Medicago truncatula: one gene and its partner. The main gene of each other region encodes a partner of the protein of the gene in region 2 in a complex. Links are inferred from orthologs where the notes say so. Each region holds a gene or a part of one and is shown on either strand. Other genes may lie near its edges. The genes, in order: nitrogen regulatory protein P-II homolog; acetylglutamate kinase, chloroplastic.

What was found.
Region 1: the proteins of acetylglutamate kinase, chloroplastic (region 2) and nitrogen regulatory protein P-II homolog are in contact, whole or in part, in a crystal structure (PDB 2RD5), measured with the Arabidopsis thaliana proteins. The link is inferred for Medicago truncatula from reciprocal best matches to the Arabidopsis thaliana genes NAGK and GLB1. Residues at the interface, in NP_191315.1 of Arabidopsis thaliana: Arg195, Glu208, Val209, Ala210, Arg211, Val212, Glu251, Ala254, Ala255, Ile286, Lys287, Lys290, Ile310, Arg311, Ala314, Gln315, Gly316, Gly347; in NP_192099.1 of Arabidopsis thaliana: Arg82, Trp84, Arg85, Gln88, Arg118, His119, Gly120, Gly121, Ser122, Glu123, Glu153, Thr157, Glu159.

Annotation. Positions count from the first base shown.
Region 1 is NC_053048.1:52,074,279-52,081,257, forward strand, and holds nitrogen regulatory protein P-II homolog, read right to left. Parts: upstream 3,057-6,979; 5' UTR 2,988-3,056; coding exon 2,801-2,987; intron 2,721-2,800; coding exon 2,675-2,720; intron 2,577-2,674; coding exon 2,549-2,576; intron 1,800-2,548; coding exon 1,712-1,799; intron 1,296-1,711; coding exon 1,228-1,295; intron 776-1,227; coding exon 706-775; intron 496-705; coding exon 460-495; intron 366-459; coding exon 304-365; 3' UTR 83-303; downstream 1-82. Other genes in the region: uncharacterized protein, read left to right, coding at 4,875-5,000, 5,125-5,199, 5,625-5,786. UniProt on the Arabidopsis thaliana protein: Participates in sensing carbon and organic nitrogen status and regulates some steps of primary carbon and nitrogen metabolism.
Region 2 is NC_053044.1:53,573,675-53,579,502, forward strand, and holds acetylglutamate kinase, chloroplastic, read right to left. Parts: upstream 1,930-5,828; 5' UTR 1,858-1,929; coding exon 835-1,857; 3' UTR 562-834; downstream 1-561. Other genes in the region: DDB1- and CUL4-associated factor homolog 1, read right to left, coding at 5,233-5,828. UniProt on the Arabidopsis thaliana protein: Involved in the arginine biosynthetic pathway via the intermediate compound ornithine.

The DNA of each region.
Region 1 (6,979 bases), on a different chromosome or scaffold from region 2:
ACCCATTCCTAATACTTTTATTTAAAAAATAAAAAAAAACATTCATACATAGAATTACGAAAACATGAACTAAATTTTTGACTGAACGAAAAATGCTGACTAAATTGGTTTGAGAATCAAATATTCACAAATTCTTATTAACTATCAACAACTCTGCATGTGTCAACTACATTGTTCTTAGAATATTGCACACATCTAAGTAACTAACAGCAAAGTGCAAAATACACACAACATACATCATTGTTATCAATTCTACAGGGGAAAAGAGAACAGAGGACCAAATTGCAAATGCTAATCTTTTGTTCAAACAGACAACGCGTCAGTTAGTCCCCCAGCCATCCTCTCAGCCTGCTCCCCACGCTCACCTGAGAATTCATATTTAAAACTTGAGTACACATGCTCTACACAAAAATGTAAACATTTTATGTTTTTAGACAATTCACTCGAGCAAATAGTTACCTGTGCGGATTCTTATTACATCAGATACAGGGATCACTGCACAATCAAAGTTCTATTAGAAATATGATACAGTTCCAAATTGAGTTTAGTAGTTTTACATTTTGAATCTAGATATTGTACTGTAACTCTTATACCCTCCTTAAACTAATTTATTATGAAAGATTCTGATAAAACATATCAGGTTTGTATCAGCTCAAAACAGAACATCACGTATAATTGATTTCCAGCAAAAGATGTTGGCCTTACAGAAAATTTTGCCATCACCAATCTCCCCAGTTCTTGCCGTCTCCATAATTTTGTTTATCACTGCCTCAACCTGAAAAAATGCATGATACGTATTAGATATGCTGCAAAAAGCAATATTTTGTTTGTAATTAAAAGTAGCATGAAGTTTTACTCGAACTACTAAATAATTCAAACACCACTGAGCTGAAAATGTTTATTCTAACTACTCCTGACTATGTCCCTTGTTGTCAAACAAAAGAAAACGGTTTTGTTTAATCTCTTGAAATGCAAACACTTTGAAATAGTGACTAGTCATGTATGAGTTCGGAAGATGCTGAATACGCAGGAACCAATGGCAATGGTCTTATCATATCCAAGAAAAAGTTTGTGCTATACTCTCACCAATATATCTAGCCAAAAAAACTGAGAAGACCCAAATCCATAGACAACTGACATTGTATGTTAATTGTATAGAATATTAGGTATTTAAGATTGTAGCACACGAATCAGGATGCCAATGATTACTACCAAATGTCAACACACCTGGTCTTTTCTCACCACTATTTCCATTTTAACTTTGGCAACAAAATTGTCTTCAGAAAATTCGGAGCCTGTGAAGAATAAACCATCAATAAAGGACAAGGATGTAAGTGAGCATGCGATCTATATGTAATATATGCACAAAACTAAGTATACAAACCAATCCCAAAGGAAGGAAAAATGTAATTCTTGAACTATATATAACAGAACAAAAGTTACAGACATAAAACACGGCTGAAGTTGGGTGGCCACAGGCCTAAATTTGTGCGCTAACATTTAGTAAAAAAAGAAAGAGCAAGTGTTTTTTTTAAGGCACGAATTCAACAAAATTTACCATAACAAATAGTCTAGTGATGAAATATGGACTTCAAAAATGTATGACGGTAACAAAAATTCCTCCAAACTCTTAACATGAATTTGTCTTTGAAGTTAACAAGGGTGAATAGAGCACTAAATTTAGGTCGGTTAAGATCAGCAACGTACATACCTCCCTGCCTCTCTTTTGAGCCACCCTGAGCACCAAACCCCTTGACATCAGATACAGTGACACCACGAATTCCCATTTTCAACAAACCCTTCAAATTTTACAATAAAAAATTCAGTATATTAGCACAAGGCCAAGGGCTTCCTGGATGAAAAATACATATATGAGCCGCATTGACCAAACCAATAATTCGAGAGGTAAAGGTCCTGGGGTACAAGTACTAAGTACAAACTCAAAAGTCATGGATCTCGTCCCAAGAGGGTAATGAACCCATTCTATAGGTGTATATTAATGATAAAACTAACGCAATACTTTTGCTTATTTGACCGCAAAAGTATTTGAAGCAATAACACAATCTTATGCACCAACTGCTAAAAATCTATTGAAAATGAAACCTTTTGGAAGTTGGAAAAAACAAAGAGAGGCGCTGAATGGAATCAATTGAATGAATTCACCAAGAAACATAGTAGTTAATATACACAGCATGTGTCATGTGCGCTAATGAAATGCCAACTAATTAACATAACAGTTAACTGACTTTGCCAATAATTAACTTATTAACTGACTTTGAAACTAATTAACTAACACTGTGTTAATCTAAGGCTTACTAACTAACTAACTAACTAGCAGAATTCAGTCCAAAAACACTAACATAATTTAGTCAAGAAAATACCATAATAGTTAACTGAATTTGCAATGAGTTAACCACCACTTGTAAACAATGTCAAGAAATCACAGGTATCAAAGACAATGTATCCAATTTAGTGAAAATAACAAGAATCACATTTTAATTTAGACATGCAAAAAAAAAAAAAAGGAAAAAGGAAAATGTATTATTACCGAAGAAACCTGAGGGATTCTCCATGGCCTGTTCATGTTGAAACAAGAAATTGAACAACATAAGCATCAAGAAATAACTGAATTCAACTGATTTCACAAAAAAACGTAAAAGAAGAGTGTTATAACCTGAGAATGGCTTCAACTTTGTAAAACTTGGATTCAGGAACATAGTCTAAAAAAGAGATCAAAGATTTAGCAACAAGATTTGAGTATGAATATGGATGAACATAGCTAAAGGAAAGGAAATCGAACCAGGAAGGTTTTGAGCTCTGATTTTGGGAAGAATCGATGCATTTCCGTTGCTTTTTAGGACCACATTGCGATGAGAAGAATCTCCGAAACGCTTGCGAATGACGCTGAAGCTTGAAAAAGGAAATTGAGTTTCATTGATATGAAAATTCAAACCGTTGAACACGTTCGGTTTCGCAATCAAAGCCATTTCTTCTTACTTCTCACTTCGCTTACCGAACTCTCCCTAGCTCGCTAGACACAGTATTGACTTAATTGAAGTTTTGTTAAGTAATAATCGATAGTTGCTAAAAAAAAATGGCAAAGTTACACTTTAGTCCTTTAACTTAATTTCAGGTAACAGTTTGGTCCTTTATCTTTTTTTCATTTCAATTTGGCCCTTTTTGTCCATTTTCATATGAATTTTTAAGCTTAAAATTCATGATTTTATTTTCTTATGGTCTTTCAGTCTTCAAATCTATGATCCTCGTTTATGTTTGGATAAGAATATTAGATTTGAAGCTTGAAAATGTATATGAAAATGGACAAAAAGGACTAAATTGAAATGAAAAAAAGATAAAGGACCAAACTGTTACCTGAAATTAAGTTAAGGGACTAAAAGTGTAATTTTGTAATAATCGATAGACACTTGCTTTTCTCTGCCTTGGAAACATACCTAAATTACTAAAAAAACTTAGTGCCAATTAATAGCGGCCGGTTCTCTAATTACTACCTCCGGTCCTTTTTATCAAAATAAAAGTGAATTTTTTTGTCCAAGATTGATCAAGTTTCAAATATGTTTAAAGCTAAATTTCATCTGTGCCCTTGTTGATTATGAGAGAGAATATTAAAAGTAAGTAAGTTGATGGAATAAAAAGTAATTAATTTAAGGGTATTCATAGAATTTTTTTAAATGTAAAAGTGTATTAAATGAAGATGACTATTTTCAATGTATTTTCTTGATGTTGATGTTTTATGTCTTTTGTTTCTTGTATAAAGGATCAGAGGAAGTATAAGCAACCATAATTAACTACGTTAGGAGTATTTTACTTGTATTTTTAAAAAGTTTATGATTTTAAAAAATCTAATTTTTTAAACTTTTTTATAGTCAAGTAGGCTAACAATTAAAAAGTTCACATAAATATATACCTTATCAAGCTTATGCGGATTTTTTTAAAAATGCCACATTTGTTAGCATGTTTTTTTTTTGGTCAACCAGTTTAATAATAAATTCATCTTTTTTTTTTTTTTTTTAACTCGTTTGTCGTCCACATGGATCCCACAATATTTGAGGGATTAGTCTTTGAAATTACGTGTAGAAGATATTGGTTTACACCAATAAAAATTCATCTCTTAAAAGAGAAAGTGTAGTATATTTGCTTGAACCCGACCCCTATATATAATACAATATTTTCTATCAACTGAGTTTTTTTTTTTTTTTTTTTTTTTATGGTGGTCGGAGTTTGTTCAACGTATTGAAATTTTTAAATAGTGTTAGATTGTGCACTTTGTTGATCAAAATAATTTCTAACATTAAAATAATTCAGGTGCGTTTGATTCTTAAAAAAATTGAAGTAGGAGAATTTAAGTTGTACTCTGTTTGATTTGTAAATTGGTGACAACTAGAGTACCAATGAAAGAATGGTGGATAATTTACCTCAACATACACATTAGCCACATAAGCACATTTTTAAGTGGTATCCATGAACTATCTTGACTCCATCAACAAATTGCTCATTTTCATTGGTTGGTGGGTAAATTACCCACCATTCTTCAAAGGTAATCTAGAAAAAACCTTATAAATTTGTTTAATTGCTAAGAGATGTGACAAAAACTAAAATTATGTTATCATTAAACCACATGATTTTTTATCTTTCCGTTGTCTAAAATACCAAAATAATTTTTTTTCCATCAAAGATCATATAAGATAAAAAATATTCAATACGTGAAGTTTATCATGTGTTGTTTTGCTGCTGTGAGTTTGGAAAATGACCGACCCTACCGCAGGACTATTTTGCAATTTCGATAGATTTATTTATGTTGTTATGTAACGGGAAAATAACGGGGGAGTTGGCGGTTGTGTATTCTATAGTAGACGATGAGTGATTTTGTGTACAGAATCAGCACGGCGAAGGAATGGGAGGAATTGCAAAGAAATGGGTCCACTTTCGGTGGTGAACTTGACAAGTCTTCTTCTTTCATCCATCTTAGCAAACTCGAACAGGTTAATTAATTTCTATGTTTTTCTAATATTTTGATTTTGATTTCATTTCACTGTTTTGCTCATGTTCATATAAGTCACTTCATTCATTGGGATTCTGAATTCTATAATTATTTTATTATTGCAGGTTCGATCAACGTTGGATAATTTTTTCTTGAATTCTAAAGATGAACTCTACCTTCTTCAGATTGATGCTAAGAAGGTTTGCTCATACTTCACCTTCATTATGCTTTTTTTAATGTGTTCTTGATTTTATTTGTGAATAAATAATTAAAAAAACATGCTTATTGGTAGTGATGAAGATTATTAGAAATGTATCATTCAACTAAAATCTGAAGGAAAATGAAACTCTGTTTCTATTCATAAAGTGACACTTAGTGTGTATTAAAATTTGATTTGTTCACATGAGAATACACTAGATTATACAGGACTTTGTAGGAAGATATAAATCTGATCTGATTACCATTGAAAATTTAGGTTTTCCCATTAAAACACTTTCATTAATAATTCATTCAATGAAATAAAATTAAATAAATAAGCATAGCACAGTTATTTTATTATTAGGCTACTCTATTGTCTTGCTAATAGTAAAGTAATATTTTCTCTTTTGCTGTGCTATTTCCTCAGCTTGGCGATGGTTTGGTGTATGAAATTGTGGACGGTTCAAATAGTTTCCCTCATTTTTATGGGCCATCTCGAAGCTTTATCCCTCTCCCTCTAGATGTGGTCACAAAAGCGGAGGAGCTGTCTCTTTCAAATGGTCGGTTCAGTTGTAGTTTGCTTGATTAAGTAGTCTGTTGATTAGCTGTCTATCATTTTCTTGTTTTCTCATACTTTCTCATGATGTGTGTGTAAGGAGCATGGATGTTAGTTCTATGCAACTGTCTAACAGACAAACCTTGATCATCTTTTCTTAATGAAGGAGATAGAATGTTGAGTTATTGACATGCTACTGTTGGAGTTTTAAGTTTCTGGATAACCAATGATTATATTATACTATTTTTACATATCTCAAATTCTCAATCAACATGTAAGTCTTGTTTATAATACCCTTTTCTACATCACAAATTTCATTGTTTGCAAAAATAAATATTTTGACCCCAAAACCACAGAATGTTTCGCACTTCAAATGACAGGGTGAAGAGTACTTGGGTACTGGGGTATCCTGCCACTGTAGTTGCTATCACTAGAGGATTCGTCCAGGGCATCTTATTTGTGAAATTGTTAGCAATTTGAATCAAGATTCCTTATTCACTCACTCTACAAGGGTGGCCTGTCCTGCAGACCTTGTGCAGATGCCAATGTTCAACATGTTCAGGAGAATGAAAAGGGGAAATCACCAGGTTCTGATCCTCTTTATTGGCCTTCCTAGCGAGCTTTCCTTATTAAATTGTTTCAAGCTACTTTTTCCAATCATTGTGAATTGTCTCCTTGGTTTGCTTGATTGGAAAAAACCCCATCACTGCAAAACAATAACACAAGAAAGTGGTGTTAACCTTGAGAGTTGAGAGTTTTTTCTTCTTCTTTCCTTTTAGAGTTTTTGGACATAAAAGTAGGATGTTAAGAACGATGTTCAAGTATTGCATCATCTTCACTAAGGATTAGTTGGTAGATATATAAAATTGAGATAATATAATTTAGCAAGGGACCAAATTGAAAATATTGATTTGTTAGGGACTTAAAATAGGTTTTCTTGCGATTAGAATAGATAATAATGTACTGATTATATATGTTTGTGTTATCCTTTTTTTTTGCAAAAATATGCAACTTATCACCAAATTTATCTTTTTTGTTATCACTTTAGTTCTTCATATGGATGAAAAGTTGATATTTTGGATGTCTGAAAAGCTAATTTGGTGATTAAATTTTTAGAATATAAATGTGGCGAGGATTTTGATTTTGAGAGATTAAACTGGTGATTATAGACAGAATTTTTTGAGACCAACTTGAAGATATACTTTTAGTGAAAAAAGCAAGATTAT
Region 2 (5,828 bases):
TAATATAATCCCTGAGTATTGTAATGTTATTTTATCAAAAAAATTGTCAGATTCTATAACTTTAGGGATTAAAAATTGGAATAAAACTATACTGATTTATGAAGAATCTATAACGACCAATCTACATACTAAAAACTGAAAAATCCATAACAACCAATCTACAACATACTAAGAAAACTACATACCAAAGTCGTGACAACTGACAATGTGCAATGGAGATTCATTTTTCCCCCTCTCTTTCATGATAACGGTATATGAAGTTAAAGATGTGACGAATGGAATGAACAACCAAGTCTTATTTCTCCCTCCAATGTTCAAGAATTTTTAAAAGTAGATGTGAAGAACGAAATTTCTCCCTCTAATGTCTTTATTTACTTGTTTTTGTTTTTGAATGTTGTTAACTGCGGGAAAGTTCTGAATCAGATAAACAGCTGTGGAGTTTGCAGCAGGCTAAAGGCTTGAGAAGTGTTAGCACCTTTTTATAGCAGTGTTTGATAACGGGTAAATAACATTTTTTTAATCATTGAAATAGTAAGGTGAATCAATTTCTTACTTAAAAAATGAAACATTAAACACCACAGTTTTAAAAATTATAGAGTCCGAAATGTTTGATTTAATCAGTGTTTGTTTACGCCTCCACATCATTAGACGGTCGTAAACAACAGCTTCCCCTAACATTGCAGGGCAATTATTATTATCTAACAACATAACTTACATTGGCTTTCCAGTTCTACCACCTAATTTCCGAGTCTTACAAATTGAAGGTGCAATCAACATTGTGAAGAAAACACAGAGCTTGAATTTAAAACTAAAAAACATGATTTCGCAAGTAAATTAGCCAGTAATCATGGTACCAGCACCTTCATCAGTTAAAATCTCAAGTAACAAAGAGTGTGGAACCCTACCATCAATAATACTTGCAGTTTTAACCCCTTGTGCTAGCGATCGAATGCAACAATTCACCTTAGGAATCATTCCACCACCAATAATTCCATCTTCAATCATCTTTGTCACTCCTTTTATATCAATCTTCTTCACCAAACTCTCTGGATCATTCCGATCTTCCAATATCCCCGCCACATCCGTCAACAGTATCAATTTCTCCGCTCCTAATGCCGCCGCTAATTCTCCGGCAACCGTATCGGCATTGATGTTGTACAGTTGTCCGGATTCATCAGCCGCAACGGATGCAACCACTGGAATTTGTCCGCTGTCGACTAGAGACCGGAGAACAGCAGGATCTACTCTTGCAACCTCGCCAACGAACCCAAGGTTTGAGGAATTAGGACTAGGACGTGCGGTGAGGAGTTTTCCGTCCACACCGGAGAGACCGACGGCGGTGGCGTCGGCTTTGTTGATTAAAGAAACGAGAATTTTGTTAACTTTTCCGACGAGAACCATGGAAACGATCTCCATCGTTTCAGCGTCAGTGACACGGAGGCCGTCACGGAAAACGGGCTGAATGTTGAGACGGCCGAGCCAGTGGTTGATTTCAGGACCGCCGCCGTGAACCATGACAGGACGGAGACCGACGCACCAGAGGAGAACGAGATCGTTAATGACTGAGGCTTGAAGCTCCGGTGACTTCATGGCGGCGCCGCCGTATTTGACGACGATAGTTTTGCCTCTGAATTTTTGTATGAAAGGAAGCGATTCAGAGAGGATGTCGACTCGGAATTGACCCGGAGATGCTGGCTCGGGTGACGCGGCTGAAGCGGAGATACAACGACAGCCATTGGATGGAAAAGAGAGGTTGGTTTGTGTGCGTTTGATTTTGATATCGATTTTGGTTGATGAGATGAATGGGAATGGAGCTCCCAAGAAGTTTGTGAAGGTTTTTGCAGCTCCTCCCAACATTGCGTTACACTTACACGCACGCTTGCACTGCCAGCCCAAGTTGAACTGAATGACTTGAAAATCAAATACAACTAGGGTTTACGGGGATATAATTAATTTTCCACGTGCCATTCTGCAGTTTTATTTTATTAAGAAACTCAAATCTTGATTAACAAAAAAAATTGATTCTCTCCCTCAAAAATAAAATTAAATTGATTCTCTTTATTTTGTTAAAAAAAAATTGATTTATTATTTTTATTTATTTTCGTGAAAAGTACTACATTATATATATCATAATTTTGGGGTGTAGTCAGGAATTCTAAGAGTGTGACTAGAAATTTTAGTACACAACACTAAATTATTTATCGTTTTTTTTTTTTTTGTGGTGATGGAGTTCGAACCTCCGACCTTACATATATTATTGTAGTAAGAATCAAAAAATCTAATTTGTTTTTACGACTTAAGTCCCCTTAGTAAAAAATCGATATTGTTTTTAGGACTTATGACTCATTTGTTTTAGATTTAAAAAACATAAATTTTCCTTTGTTTTTTTTAAAAATGAATTGAAAATTTATTTAAAAAAGGGTCATGTTAACCGGAATCGGTATCCCCGGGGCACGGATTAATGAAGCAAATATAGTAGTAATATTTGCATTAAAAGTTGTGTAATTAATGAATTACAAGCTTAAAAAATGTCTCTTTTGATTTACAATTTCTTCTTTTGCTTCCTTAACTAGTGCCCCGGGGGCATTGGTTAACATTTCTCATTTAAAAATAGTAGAAATTTTTTGGAAATCACATATTATTCTTGATCAAAAAACATCATTCGAAAAATAATTTTTATGAAAAGTTATTTTAAATAGCCTTTTATTTTAGACATTTTTAAAATGTTATTATCCAAAAAAAGTTAAAACAAAATGATGAAATATTATTTATAATAACATTCCAAGATAAAATATTCAAACGAATTTTTCATTTGATGTTTTCCTTCAAAAATTATTTGTTAAAAATTTATAGCAAAAAGATGCTAAATTATACAAATTTATTTAAGAAAAAACTATAACAAACTACTCTAAACCAAACTTTTGGAGTTAACTATAAAGTTTTAATAATCATGTCATGTAGCTTAAACACTGTATATCTTATCAAGGTTGAGTTCCTTAAAAAAAAATGTCATCAAGGTTGAGTGAGACTAATCATTAGTGAGTTTAATTATATAGTCAGTAGACCTCCACACAATAAAATTTGGTTTAAACAGATAATTTAGTCCTTAAATTTTAAGTCTCTCGACAATTTGATCCATAATTTTTTTTTTTTATAGAGATGGTCCATAAACTATCAAAATCAACTAAACAAATTTTAAACTATCCTTTCATCCAATTATTTACTCTCTTAATTAAAAAATTGTGTTTTGTTTTTTATGATCATACAGCGACGTAAATGATGTACTTTTTATAGTATAGTTTAAAAACGAAATTGATGAGAGCATGACAATTTAAGGATCAAATTCATACAATTTGCTCGAGGAGTGTTATTTGAACAATCATTTTTGTCAGACAATTAAAAATGAGAATTGATACAAAAACCAAAGTAATACAGGGAGAAAATAAAAACACAGCCTGAATATGAGAGAGAAAGTCGTCACAAAAATTATCACAATCATTTCTCAATTTGCAAACTCAACCTCAGAGAGGTTCAAGGTTGCGAGTCTAATCATTATCAAAATGCGATGGTACACTCTAAACACCAAATCGACTTCCCCACTCTCACTGGCTCGAAGAACACAACACAACAAAACATGAATATTCATTTATCCCTTTCCCCTTCTAGAAACTTCCACTAGTTTTGATTTTACCATTCAAACCCAATCATGTTAGAAAATTGCTGTATACACATGTTATAAGGCTGAAAAACACAAGTAAAAGACGAAAATGCCACCGTGACAGTTAACTACCGAAATTAAGAACCGGCTGCAGTTAACTGCCGAAGGAAACTTCGGGAGTTAACTGCCGATGAAGAAAAAAAAACCATTGACACTTAAGTGCCGAGGAGCTCAAAACTGCCAATTTTTTTCCCTACTTGTTGAGTTAGCGTATGCGTTTTAACTGAAACTTAAGTGCCTCATTTAGAAATTAAAATAGTAGAAGATATATAGAAAATGTGTGTCTAGCTTTAGAAACTTAAACCTGTCCTCTAGATATTGTTTTTTTAGTTGAGGATGTAGGATATAATAATTGATTATCCTCAATTTATAGGTAAGCTAGCTTTAAATTCAAAGGGTTTGAATTTGAAATATTTGTTTACAAGGGTAGGTAAGGATTGTGAACCATGCCTCAAAAGAGTGGCACCAAAGAAAGATAATTTTTCTTACTTTTAGCCGTTTTTTGTGACCTTGAGAGGCAAAAGAGGGAAAAAAAAACAAACGGAAACAAATGGAATTTGGTAGTTAAGTTATAATAGTGTTGTGACCTTTAGGCACTTAAGTTTCGATTCCACGACAAACAAACCACACATATATACGCTAGCTCAACAAGTAGGGGGAAATAATTTGGCATTTTTGAGCTCCTCAGCAGTTAACTGCCGAAGGAACTTCTGTAGTTAACTACAGCCGGTTCTTAATTTCGGTATAAAATGTGTATACAGCAATTTTCATCATGTTAACATACCCAGCAGCACTTGTTACTGTTGCAATCTTCAATTGATTCAACTTGGGTTTCAAAACTTTCTTTAAACCCCAAATCTTTTATCCATCAGTATGCTATTGTATTTTTTGTTTTAATTTGATGATGTTAGACGATTTTTATCAGTTTAAGATCCGACTTCAAATAGCTGCTGCTGTATAAGGAACATCGAAACAACATGGTCTTGATTCCTATGGTGAAAATCTATAACCTCCAAGTGTATCGATAATCATTAAGAAATTTATCTTGCACCATGCACCACTTGAGTGACTTGTGCACATCAGAAATTGCACTCAAATTAGATTTTTATTTCAAACATTTTTAAAAAATTGTCATTGAAAAAGAGTCCAAATTAGATTTTTATTTCAAACATTTTTTAAAAATTGTCATTGAAAAAGAGTCCGTAACAGAATGACTTATTCCAAGAAACTATTCAGACCGATTTCTGATTTTGAAGCTTTTTTTTTTAAAAAAAATTCTCTAAAAAAGCTGTAAACAAAAACAAAACAGTTGCATCCCCATATCGCATTCGCAGCCCAGTAAAAATGCAGTTTCCTAAAAATATATACAATTATGTTACTCGACTTTATACCACTGATAAGTAGGAAGAGTTAAATGTGAAAGACTACAGCAAAATTTTGAGAAAACAAAGCGACCTTTCGCCCAAAAATGAATACAATGAAGAGATTATAATTACAGCATCTCAGATTAACAACTAATAACCACCAAAGTCATAATCGTCATCACTACTCTCGGATTCAAGTCCTTGACTATCATCATCGTCGTCCTCATCCCCATCCGTCACAATATCCAACATGTCGTGTCCATCAAAGTCTATATCGTCCATCATGTAACCTCCATCGTCGTCATCATCATCAGGATCACTTACACTATCATCATCATCTTCATTGCTGCTCATGTCTTCAGCATCACTGTCGCTTCCCACACCAAAACCAGGGCCTAAAAGAGGATCTTCATTGTCATCGTCGTCATCTTCATCTTCTTCCTCGCTTTCAGCATCATCAGGATCAGAATCATCATCAGTTGGCCTCCGACGACCAATTTCATATGATCTGGCTGACGAATACATATCACCTTGATCATCCATGGTAATCAACCCAACAAATGAATCTGTTGGTTCGGTTGCAAAATCAAGAACACAGCGATCCACAGGGATGGTAGCAATGTCAGAATAATTTATTGCATCCACTGTGCGAAACGCTGAAAAAAGCGGATGCTTAACACGGCGTGCATGCATTGCTGACATTACATCCTCAAGATTTCTCCTTAAGATTGCATACATAACATCTC